3 linked regions of the Drosophila melanogaster genome follow. The protein of the gene in region 3 interacts with the protein of the main gene of each other region in a pairwise test. Each region holds a gene or a part of one and is shown on either strand. Other genes may lie near its edges. The genes, in order: B-H2, CG12877 and Usf.

Evidence for each region.
Region 1: the proteins of Usf (region 3) and B-H2 interact in a two-hybrid assay, tested with the Drosophila melanogaster proteins (one large-scale study listed by BioGRID).
Region 2: the proteins of Usf (region 3) and CG12877 interact in a two-hybrid assay, tested with the Drosophila melanogaster proteins (one large-scale study listed by BioGRID).

What each region holds. Positions count from the first base shown.
Region 1 is NC_004354.4:17,312,047-17,316,286, reverse strand, and holds the start of B-H2 (BarH2), read right to left. Parts: upstream 1,707-4,240; 5' UTR 1,418-1,706; coding exon 376-1,417; intron 1-375. UniProt on the Drosophila melanogaster protein: B-H1 and B-H2 are regulated by members of the wg signaling pathway; wg and dpp. B-H1 and B-H2 are coexpressed and functionally required in R1 and R6 receptor cells and primary pigment cells for normal eye development.
Region 2 is NT_033777.3:27,704,862-27,709,101, reverse strand, and holds the start of CG12877 (uncharacterized protein), read right to left. Parts: upstream 2,003-4,240; 5' UTR 1,893-2,002; coding exon 1,784-1,892; intron 1,726-1,783; coding exon 304-1,725; intron 246-303; coding exon 1-245. Other genes in the region: CROT (carnitine O-octanoyltransferase), read left to right, coding at 3,261-3,638, 3,715-4,240.
Region 3 is NC_004354.4:4,546,781-4,551,020, forward strand, and holds the start of Usf (Usf), read right to left. Parts: upstream 2,015-4,240; 5' UTR 1,649-2,014; coding exon 606-1,648; intron 45-605; coding exon 1-44. Other genes in the region: CG15912 (uncharacterized protein), read left to right, coding at 2,294-3,034; CG11436 (uncharacterized protein), read right to left, coding at 3,630-4,240.

The sequences.
Region 1 (4,240 bases), about 13 Mb from region 3:
GTTCATTAGATTTCACTTTCCCATCCAGTCCAGTCCCTGAAATATCACAAATATCATATTGCTATATATATATATATATATATTCTCTATATGTATCCCCGCTTTGCTCTTCTCATATTACTTGATATTGCAATAAAGTGTCTATATACATATACATATATTCCGCACTTGGTGCTATTCTTCAAGATCCATCTGAATCTGTATGTCTGTCTCATGAACTAGTCTCTTCCTTTAGTTAGCAACTTAATTATTTCTGCTATATATATATATATATACTTTATATATTCCCGATGTAGCCTTATCCTTGAAATACAGCTTAAACCATATTGCTATACAGATTCATTGTATGTTTATGATATATGATCAGCGACTTACCGCAATCATCGCTGTCGCTGTCGTCGATTGTGCTGGCTTGATCGCCGCTAATGCTGCTGCCGGGTCCTCCGAGCAACATGTTGCCGTTGCCACTGCCATTGTTGTTGTTGCTGCTGCTGCTGTTGCCGCTGATGATGTTGCTGTTGGCACTAGCACTGTTGTTGTTGTTGTTGTTGTTGTTACTGGCACTGCTGCTGTTGTTGTTATTGTTGTTGTTATTGCCACCGTTACCGCCCAATTGTTGCAGCATCAGCGGTGACCGGGATCGCTCATCGTGCATGGGATGATGCAGATGCGGATGGTGCTGCTGGTGGCTCAGGTGGCTTAAGTGGCTCAAGTGCTGGGCAGGATCACCGGTCAGCCCGTGGCCATGCCGATGCAGTGCCTCCAATCGTTCCCTCTCAAGCTGCAGATGATGCGGGTGGGGATGTTGCTGTTGCTGCTGTTGCTGTTGCTGCTGCTGCAGCACGGCGTAGTGGGCGGGCGGAAAGTGGGCGAGCAGATGGGGCGGCATGGGGTGGTGGGCATAGGGATTGTTGCCAGGCGGCGAATGTCTCTCCCTATAGTGTTCCCGCTCCCGCTCCCTCTCCCTTTCCCGTTCAAAGCGCAGCAACTGCTGCTGTTGCACGATGTACTGTTGCAGGGCAGCCTGCTGATGTTGCTGCTGCTGCTGCTGCTGCTGGTGATGATGGTGTTGTTGCTGCTGCTGGTGATGGTGGTGATGCTGGGCGACCAGCGATTGCTCCCGCTCCGAGTCCGTCGGACTGCCACGCCCACCGCCGGAAGAGGCGGCTGCCAAGGCGGCCGCCGCTGCTGCTGCCGCCGCCGATGCGGCCGCGGCTCCTGCCAAAATATCGGTGATCATAAAGCGGGATCGCGTCGCCGTTGTGGCCGTGGCTGTCGTCGTGTTGCTGCCGACGGCCGGGGAAGCTGGACGCGGCATACCGCCGCCGACGGCAGCGGGATGATGAGCGGTGGCACTCGGTGCACTGCCAACGGGAGCTGCCGTTGTTGCGGACATTTCCGGTGGCATTGTGGTCATGTGTGGTTAGCCGACGACTCCGCTGCTGCACCTGCACTTTGCACCGAAAAAAAACAAACAGCTATGTATGTATGTATGGGTGACGCGAGTTTTTAGCACTTCTTCAGTTAATTGTTGGTAGCTGCTCGCACTTATTTCTTAAACTTGACAAGTTCTTGAACTCCGCTTTCGATTGCTCTTGCGTTGGTTAATGTTTTCTTGGCCCAACTGGGTTTTTAACGCAAATGTCGCTGAGGTGCGCACACTTTGTGATGTTCAATAGCGGAGCAACAACCGCTCGCCTTTGGCTTTCGACCGAAACTGAAACTTGCTGCCAGCAACAGCAACTGGCAGCAGCAGCAGCAACAACAGCAGCAGCGGCAACAGCAGCAACAACAAGAAGGCAGCAAAAACCAGTTGAGCCACCGCTTCCCATCAGCTGCCACCTGTCGTCGTCTCTTTTTCGCTCATTGACCTGGCCAAGTGGCGGTGTGGTGAGTTTCCCTCTCTGTCGCCCCGCGACTGCCTCTCGCTCGCACCCACGGCTGCCCACATTTATTGCCCGCACTTATTGGTCGTAATTGGCAGCAATTGACATTCATTAGGCTTCAATCAGCGGGACTCAAGTTGGCGGGTGTGGTGACTTTCCGCCGGCAATGGCCGCACGTCTAACGGTTATTTTTATGGCACGTGGTGGAGTTGGCTGTTTCGAACTACAACCGCACAAAAAGTATTGCAATTAACTTCATATCCTTAAATAAATAGGGTTTATTAAGTCTTGTCAATTTATATAAAAAGTTATTTGTACTTATTTGATTTCTATAAATCTGAACAAAAACGTGTTCGTTATCTTTGAGGGTTAAATATAGTCTTAGGGGTCAGTTGGTTATTTCATATTATTTTAGCTGCTTTCAAACAAAATTTGAACAGTGTTAATGGTAAACTTTTATTATAATAGCGAGTATTATTAAAAAATATGTAGCCATGCATCTTTAATATACTAATAACTTGTTATCTAACTTTCCAACTAAATATAGTTTGTACAGGAATGACAGAACATTTATGCAATATGCCTCCAGCAGTAGCAAAATCATACTGTTTTAGAAGGTTTCCCTGTTCAATACGACTTCCCATAAACTTTTTATGGCAGCTTGAAACTCAACACGATTATGGCAGCAGGGCAGCTGCCGCCTTTGCTTTTGCTTCTAATGTTGCTTTTGCTGTTGTATCTGATGGACAGATATCCGGATGGCAAGATGGATGGATGGGATGCTGTCAACCCTGTTTTGTGGCCAGGCCACGCCCCCTTAAACTGGTTTGTGCGAGCGAGAGGCAGCCGGCACGACATCTGTCTGTCTCGCTTTGGCCCAAGGGCTGGCCGCCTGTGGCTCGCCTCGGGCCCTCTCGCTCTGCGTACTTTGTTGTTGGTGTCTTTTGTTATTTTTGCGCTTGTTAACACTTTTTGTTTGGCATTTAAACAGTAAATTGGCAGCAGTTAAATGCTGCACGCTTTCCTCTCTGTCGCACGCGATAGTGCCCTCTCTTTCCACTCACTTCTGGTTTACTTCTTGTATCGATGTCAATTTGCTGCCTAATGTGCAAGTGAATGGGTCTCAGGGGGGGGGTGGCTATCCAAGAGGGGGCTGTATACCACTGGGGGTTCCTACCACCTCATTCCTGTGGACTAACAAGCGTGCTCCGGTGGGCAGGAGCTACTCGAGGAGGCAGTCTTTGGCGCCTGGAGGCGGATGCTCCCGCTGCCACATGTTTATTGTATAGTTAGCTTTTCAAAATGGCCTCACGGCAGCAATTGTCGGGTATTACTGGCCATTGGTATGTATCCGAGTTCCTGTCGCCAAACGTTTCCAGGAATAGAGTATCGTAATCATAGATATATCCCAAGCATTTACGACCTGACAAACGATCGGGCTGGAGCAGGAAAACGAAGACGTGACCGGGATCATTGGGTACAGTTTGTATTGCCTCTGAATAAACCATGAGATTGATTTTCCTGTAATATAAATTATAGCATTAATAGATATGAACATAAACTTATCATTTTTTTTATGTAATTTACTTATTGATAATTGTTTTCTTAATTATCAATAAATAAAACTAAGGTCAGACCAATTTAATACAATGTTTACATTTATTCAAAAAAATATATATTTATAACGTAAGTGGTACTGAAAGGGATAAGCACCGGAAATCCTAAGAAATTGAGTAAAATTTGGCACTTACTGCACGTGTTCTAATTTTAATTGGAATTCCCCCAAGCCTATCCATCTAAAAGTAACTTCCCCATCTGTCACTGCTCTCTCGCTCTCGATGTCGAAACACCACCATTCCATTAATGAGGTTTCCGTAAAAATGTGACAATAATTTATCTTTCAGCATTCCCTTTGCCTGCTAATGAGGCAACTTGACTTTCGCCACTCTCCCGCACTCGCAATCACCAAAAATCCCACGGATATTCGACGTATTTTCATTTTCCAGCTGCGTCCGCCATTTTGTCGGGGTCTAACTAACGGCACTTGGCGCTCGTTCAGCGGGTACAAAGCGAAATATAATACACAGCAGCGAAATAAGTTAATTAAAGATGAACTCGGTGTAAATGGCCAAAGTTGAAGTACGACAGCAATATACTCTAACTGATGGGAGGAAGTTGTGACTTTTTGGCTTGACCAGAAATTGTATGCGCGTTTTTTAAGGTTCATAATATCCAAGTAAGAATATTGGAATGAAAATTGGATTGAAAAGAAGTGCGTGAAAATCTCAACACACATGAACGGAACCACAAAATACTCGAGATTATGAATACCAAATCACTAGTACCCATGTTCA
Region 2 (4,240 bases), on a different chromosome or scaffold from region 3:
ATAATACTGAATGCGCACGTTGTATGATATCTTGGAGCTGCTGGGATCTAGGACGGTTGGCTTCTCCGCGTTGGACACAGGAGCCGCTTTGTCTAGCGCAGCAGTGGGCTTGTGAGCCACACGGCCGGCGCCCTTGAATGATTGTGCAGGCGTAAAGGCTGGCTTCTTCTCGGCCTGCAGCTCCTCGATCTTTTTTTTGGCCCGAGCGATGGCCACAATGTTGGCCACAGGTGCTATGCTGCGAGCTGGTAACCAAAAATATTTGAATTTGAATTATTATATATTCCAAAGTGGTATGCTCACCTGATCGCACTGGTGGGGTCAGAGCACTTCGCGAAATAAGTGGCGTGAGGTTGGAGTTGACCTTGGCCTGACGGAGCTCCTCCTGCGCTTGGCGCACCCGCTCCTGTGCCTGACGTACCTGCTCCGCTGAGGCTTCGGCTTGTAGCTTCTCCTGGCGCCGCAGCTCCGCGCGGCGGTTGAAGATCGCCTGCATGGCATTACGGACGTGATTGGGTTTGCGCATCGCCGCCGAAGGAGCCAAATGAGGCGTGATCTTGTCAGCATTCTCGTGGGCCACCCGGCGCTTCTGCAGAGCCGCCGTGGCTGCCTCGGTGAAGGTATCAATGTCCGGAGAAGGAGCTTTGCGCTTGCGAGAACTCTCCGGGTTGGCATTGCCGCCTTCGTCCTTGTGCATCTGCGCAAATTTTTTTTCCATCTCGTCAAAAATCATTTCACACTGGCGTACAATTTCTCCTTCCGAGGTGTCTGCTTCAAAATCAAAGTCCATGTCATCCAGATCATCCATAGGTTCTGCTGGTGTCAGTACAGCTGCTTCAGTATCCTTATCCGCCTCCGGTTCGCTCTTTGAAGTGCCAGCGCTTTTGCTGGAAGACGAGCTCCTCTTAGTTTTGGACCGTGAACTCGAGGAACTAGATTTGTGATGATGGCTCTTCGAGGAGGATGATGAAGAACTGCTCTTGTGCCTGCTACTGGAACTTTTGTCGTCGCGGTGCTTATCGCTGCTGGATGACTTTTTGCTGGAAGAGGAGCTAGATGAAGACTTGTGCTTAGAGGAACTTGAGCTTGAAGTATTTCGCTCCTTGGAGCGCTCCTTGTCGCTGTGGGAGGACTTTCGCTTATCCCTATCATTTTTTTCCTTCTCTCTGTCCCTTTCCTTGCTCTTCTCTTTGTCTTTTTCCCGGTCCCGGTCCCGGTCCCGATCCCTGTCTTTGATCTTTTCCCTTTTCAGCTCTCTGATCTTCTTCTTTTCTATATCCCTTTCCCGCTCCTTGCTGGGCTTTCGATCCTTTTCGTGGCTATCCCTAGCATCCGTCAGTTGCGTATTCTCCTGGTCCTCCTCGTTTTCAGCTACCGTATCTATCTTCTGTTCTTCGTCGTTATTCTGGACTTGCTCCTCAATCTCCACCTGCATCTGCTCATCAATTTCCTTTTCGAGTACCGCCTGCCAATCGTCATATTCTTCGCCATTTGTAACAGATGGCTGGCCGGGCACATATTTGGGAGCACTGTCCACGGACGCCTCCTGCTTCTTCTTAGCCGGCGATGCGTCAAGAGCCGGCTTCTCCGGGTGGTACTCCAGATTGGACTTCTTCCGGGGCGCACATAGCGTGATCTGGGGCAGTGGAAGGGAGAGCAACTTGGGTGCCGGCTTGTACTTGGGCACGGGGGAAGGTTCTGCAGGTGGAGCGGCCTCCAATTCGTCTGTAAACCGAGAGTGGATAGAATTTGTTGCGAAATTAACTGGACGTAATTCACTCACCTTTGCGAGCATGCTTAAAGTGGCAAAAGGGGCGCTTGCAGGACGCCGCATCCTGGCCGTCAAAGTAAGGGCACAAGAAGCCCTTAAAGAGACCCGTGGATGGCAGCATTTCCACCTCTTGCTGGGATTAGAAATTTAATAAAGCCGCTTGAGAAAACAAGCGTCCCAAATTTCTTTCTATTCTTTCTGCCTGTCTCTTTCACTCATTTCGACAGATGTCAGCTGTTTCAGCTGCTGGCGGCGTTGCCAGATAGGCGTCAGCATGGATGCTATGAATGGATGCTAAGGAATTAAATTAAATAAATTTAAATAAGTTTTAAATATTTACAAAACATTGAATGACCTATTTAATTAATAATTGTAAACAATATTCGCATTTTGTTAACGGTTACAATGTACGTTTATGGCAGTTGATTGCATCAATCCGGGAGGATTATATCTTGCGGTACGATGTACAATGCTATGCGATGTTAATAAGAATAAGATGTACGTAATAAGAATGTGGTGACTAACGGTATAAACAAATGGTGTAAAAAGTCTGGCAACTCCTGCAAACAGCTGTTTGCTGTGCCAATTTCCTATAGGGTCTTCGCCGCTTGTAAACAAAAACGCAGCAGTATAATAATAAAAATAATTGTTTAACCTATAAAATTGTTTGCTTATCTAGCCTAATGAACTTGATAGCTGCGGAACCGTTTTAATTTCGATCGAGTGCATCGCAAACTGAAGTTCGGGCGCGACATTCAACTGCCGCCTCATCGAAGGTTTGTGTGGGTGTGTCTGCTGGAATATGTTATTAAAAAAGAAATTCATATAGAAATTCAAATGAAACCGGCCATTATCGGTGGCCGACTGTCTGCAATAGCAATGATTAGGGTGATATATTATCGCACTGAGTCAGTGGACGCGGGTGGCGGATCCCACGGTGCGATAATTCAAGTGCTCCCCCTCCGGCAAGGTTTGCTGTGATATGGAACCAACCTATGGATTCAGTCGTATAACGGCAGTCTGGCGCTTCAGTTGTCTCCGGCAAAAGTGAATTCCCCATCGAGTACAAAGGTCAGTGGGCTAGAAATTCGCCTATGATTTCACCAGTGCGCCGGGAGTATAAATATTTATAAAGCTCCCCAATCCGGACTTTGTCCAGCTTGAGGAGATTAGTGAAGATAGTCGTCTAGCTGCAGTCCAAGAAAGATTACGTTCAACTTGACGCATAATCCGCTTAGTTGCACATTAAGTGTTCTTAGTTGTGTGGTATTAATTTGCACACCATTTTAATGTTTAACCTATAAGATGAGATCAATTTATTTCCGATGTGAATGTACTCAGTAATGTATTGGGTGAACTTTGGACCTGACGAACGTAAAAGCGATTCCCGATATGATTATTGTACTAATCTGACTTAGGCCTATAGAAAACCACCACACGCGCAGACTGATATCAACGATTCCAACGTGTCCCCCGCAGCTAAACCACCATGGACCGGGCTAGTCTATATTTTATGAGCAAGGATGATAAGAACACCTTCGACTTCGACGAGACCTTACCTTCGCTCCCGCTGCCGGAGCTTAGGGACACCATGGAGCGCTACTACAGCTGCATCCAGCCATTCGGGACCAAGGAGGAGTTGGCCCAGGCCCGCAAGACTATTGATGAGTTCCAAAACGGAGTGGGAGCCCAGCTGCACGAACAGCTCAAGAAGCGGGCGGCCGGCATGAGGAACTGGCTGGGCACCTGGTGGGAGGACTACGGATATCACCTGATTCGGATGCCGCTGCTGCCCTACCAGCTCATGGTCATGCCCTCGCAATTGGAAATGGTGGGCGTGCCGGAGACACCGGAGTACATGCTGAAGGTGAGTGGACCCACACCCCAAGCTCTATAAGAACACAAAGTTTAAGATTGCCTAATTGACTGTATAATTTTCGAAGAGTCTGGCGCGCCACATTCACCACTCGCTGGAGTTTTGGGATCTGACTAGAAAGTCCAGCATCAAACCGCTCTCCTCGAACGGCGGTAAAATAAAGTACTCCTCCGCGCTGTACAAGCACTTCTTCTCCACGTGCCGTGTGCCAGGCGAGGAGCAGGATCATATAGAGAAGCATTTTCTCACCAAGGATGAGGGCAAAACGCCGAGTCACATGCTTATTTCCGGCAAGGGACGTCAGTTCATCTTCGATTGTGTGCACGAGGACGACACTATCCTATCGGCTCCCGAAATCCTCGTGGCCCTGCAAAGAGTGCGCAGCATCCTCGACTACGAGCCGTTGGGCGATTGTGTGCCCACCCTGAGCCATGACGAACGCTCCACGTGGGCACGCAACCGCAACCGTTTGAGGGAAATCTCAGTTGCAAACAAGGAGACGCTGCTTCTGGTGGAGAGCGCATGTATGGAGATCTGCTGGTACGAGCAATCGCCCAAGGACTACGAGGAGTCCTGCCAGCTGGGTCTCTACG
Region 3 (4,240 bases):
TGCTGGCCCTTAGGCTATCCGTCTCCCTTAGACAGTCGCGCAGCCTGTTTATTGGTGGGGATAGACAAAGTTGAGTAATTGGTTTGTTTATGTTTGGTGATCGGTGAATCGGTGGATCAGGTGTTTGATTGGCTTTGTATGATTTTGTTGGGTTTTGTTTGGGTGGAAACCGCATTCGATCAGTGTGAGAGAGTGTTGTGTTCAAGACTTGAGTGACACAGGGACATTCGAGAGTCCAGCTCATATTGCACGAGATAGTGGCGAAAAAGAACCGCTCCAAAATGGGGATTTTGTTTTGCAAAAAGATAACACCAGCCCTATATCAGCACTTTAAGTACGCATTTCTACGGAAAAAGTGGGAAAGATCAAGTGTCCGCCCTTTGGGTAACTTTATTCCTAACCGTATGCGATCGATACATGATGTAAGCTCAATTGAGCGAATGGAGTTGATTAAGATCTATAAGCAAACTCATTTTTTAAGACCATTAACAAGTCAAAAAAGTTATATAGCTGTATATATAACTGTAGTACAGCAACTTATAGCGGACAATATTTGTGGATTTCTGATTCAGTGGTTTCCCCCCTACAAACCCGTCTCCACTCACGTGTCAATCTCGCCCTGCATGCTCTTGATGTACTCGCATGCCTTGATCAGGATCTGCGATTTGGAGTCATTGGGCGGCGCTCGTCCGCTGGAACTGCTGGCATTGCCTTTGGAATGGCTACTTCCGTTGGTACTCGTACTTCCGCTGGTGCTGGGACTCGTGCTGGCCTCGCTGAAACTGGAGCTGGAGCTCAGACTGGGCAGCATCTCCTTGAGCTTGAAGATCCAGCTGTTGATCTTGTCGCGGCGCCGGCGTTCGACCTCGTTGTGCGTGGCACGACGTTTATCATCGCGTTTCTTGTACGCCTCCAGTTTGCTGGATGGTGTTTGGCCAGCTGATTCTGGCTGGGATCGGGCTTGGGCGTGAGCATGGCCATGGCCATGACCATTGCCATGGGAGCCATACAGGACACTGGTGGTGGTGGTGGTGCTAGTGGTGCTGGTGGTGGTGTTGATGTTACCTGGAATGGGAGGATTCACGGTCTGGGCGGTTATTACCGCGGACTGTGTGCTGGAGGAAGTTGTAACAGATGGAAGGAGCGGCTTTTCGCTTAGCGTATCTAGTTCCAGCTTGATGGCCGCCTTCGTCGGCGGCTCACCCATTAAGCTGCCGGTTTCCTTGACCAAATATATCTCACAGCCAGTGGGCAGCTGCAGATTGTTGGGCAGCTGCAAATTGCTAGGCAGCAGCGAATGGATATCTAGATCACATCCCGGTTCCTGTTTAATCGTATAGTACTCCTGCGAATCGTCCGAGTTCTCGTCTCCGCAAATGGTGAGAAATATCTGAGCACCTTGGCTATTCATCAGCGGATTTCCCGTGTCGCTGGTGAGAATCAGACTTTGCTGACCATTGGCAAAGGAACTGTGGACCAGGGCCTCTGACAAATCAGCGGTGTGGTGATTGGTAATGGTCATGAGGCCAGGTCCAGCTGTTGGATTCGCATTGCTGATATTTACGGAGGACGGGGATGTGGAAGTGTTGGTATTGCTGGTGGAGGAGCCGAATTCCATATTCAGACGTGGCCGCTTGTGAACATTCATTGTTGCATCGATGATCCGCCGTTAGCAGTACACCAATTCCAATAGCCCAATCCCAGCCAGAATCGTATCCGTGTCGCCGGGAATCACGTAACTCCGGATCTATTCGGGATCTCCTCCACTATTTGCTCCGATCTCTAGTTGGAGGATACACGGATATGGATGGTAGATATCCCCCGATCTGGCCGCTCTGCGGTATTATTAACTACCGACTGCCTCGAGGATTTGATTTGAAATCGAGCGCTGCGGCGGATTTATGGTCGTTCGTGTTCGCACGGCCATTTAACAATACGATTTGTTGATTTTTTTTGTAACAAAATTATTTTCGTTTGGCTTAGTGTGCCCGCCGGCGGGCAGCAAATATATGCCGACAAATACACACAGTACAGTTGTTGCGAAAAATACCAGAATTTAGGCAATGTATTTTTGCGGCATTTCCAAATAATTGTTTGTATTCAAAAAAAAAAATAAACTCTTCATACAAGTAGAAAATCTGTAACTTTAAAATGAAGAAAAGCATCTTCATTTAATTCAATAAACGATTCTCAACTAAGCAAATGTGTTTTTGGAGGTTTTTCGAAAATTAAAATATACCAAATGCATATACGTAATATCTAGTGGACAAACAATACCACACTGTTGGCCAAAATGTCGTTGACTTCGCAATTTGTTGCGAATTTGAAACGCTTTCGCCTGGTGACCTTCGATGTAACGGACACGCTGCTTCGCCTGGAGGATCCCCTTCGCCAGTACCATCAGACGGCAGAGGAGTTCGGGGTCACCGGAGTGGATCGCCGCCGATTGGAACAATGCTTTCGCCAGCAATTCAAGGCGATGAGCAGCGAACATCCAAACTTTGGCCGTTACTCGCCGGGATTGGATTGGCAGCGTTGGTGGCTTCAGCTGGTGGCTCGAACCTTTAGCTGCGTGGACCACGGTCTGGCGCCCGAGAAGCTGGAGAAGATCGGCCAGCGGCTAATTTCCGTTTTTCGGACCAGCGCCTGTTGGAGTCACGTGAATGGTGCCCAGGAGTTGGTGCAGAACGTCCGAAATGCCGGCAAATGTGTGGGCATCATCTCCAATTTCGATTCGTCACTGCCACAAGTCCTGGACGCCATGGGCTTTGCCGGCAAATTCGATTTCATTCTGACTTCCTACGAAGCCGGTGTTATGAAGCCCGAACGCGGTATCTTCGAAATTCCGCTGCAGAGATTGCAAATTCCAGCGGAGCAGGCCCTTCACATTGGCAACAAGTTGGATATGGACTATGAAGGTGCCCGGAATTGCGGCTGGAGCGGTTTGCTTGTGAGCAACGCTGACAATCCCCATTCTTTTGCCAGTCTTTCCAGTCTGTTGGAGGCCTTAAAAACCCAACCAATCCGATGGTAATCCACCAAAGAAACTCCTCTCGGGAACCTGCAGTTCTTCGATTGGATAATGGCTGTTGTTATTTTTGTAGATTTCCTTTTTTTTTTGCATTAAGATAACATAACTGAATGTAAAACTAGTGGTAAATATAAATACGCGATCTTAATGATATTTTTTTGGGAAATTCGAGGTAGGAGGTTTTGGACAAATATAAAACATAATATAACAAATATAAAAATAAGCTGTCTGAAAACAGAAATAAACAAAAGAGTTCTTAGTTGAATACAATTCAAAGCTTATTTCTTATCGAATGTGAAAAAGTCGTTGTTTAAATATTCATTAAAAGATATTATTAATTAAAGTGACATAACGATGCTGTATTATGCATCGAAAGAACCTCCTCCTTTCGAACATTTCCGTGTATAAAGCCTGATAAAACTATACCTGAAAACTTATCCTATACACACACACACACACACTCGCACACGTCTCTTGCACACATACCTAAATACTAATTAAGAACAGATTAATCGTACAAGCTATTTTGTGACCAAAAATATTTGGTTGCTTTGTGAAGGGAATGTGCCAGTCCATCTGTTTGTAATGGCAATCATTACTATGTAGCCTTTGTCGCCTTCGCAGGCATTTGGGCCTTGGCCGCCTTAAGCTGCTCCAAATTGAACTGTTTCCGGATTTCGGTGGACACCTGGCGAATGACCGCATCCGTATTGGCCTTTAGATCCCGTTCCAGCACATCAATGTCCACATCCTTGCTCTCCAATCGCATTTGCATGTCCGAATAGAAGTCACAAAACAACACCGGTTCATCTGAACCATTCGGCGTCCTCGTGCTGCAGTATTGACCCCTTCGATGGAGATCATCGTTGTTGGTTTTGGCGTCCAGGCCAAGCAGACGTCTCGCTCCCAATGGCAGCTGCTGTTGGATCAATCTCTCGTGATTCTGAGAGATGTGATGCTTCAGCTTCTTGAACTCCTTCACCTCGTTCTGCATGTACTTCACATAGCTATACATCTTGGAGGTTTTCTTCGTTAGGTTCTCTAGGCAACTTATAAAGTTTCGCACCTGCTGTGTTCTCGGCAATGTGCTGGGATCCAGTCGCTCGGCTTCGTCGAAGTGCTGCAGTGATCGATTAAAGTCGTGTTTCATGGCCAGTGCAGAGGCCAGGACCACATGATTCTCGGCCACATTAGGAGCATGTTCCACCG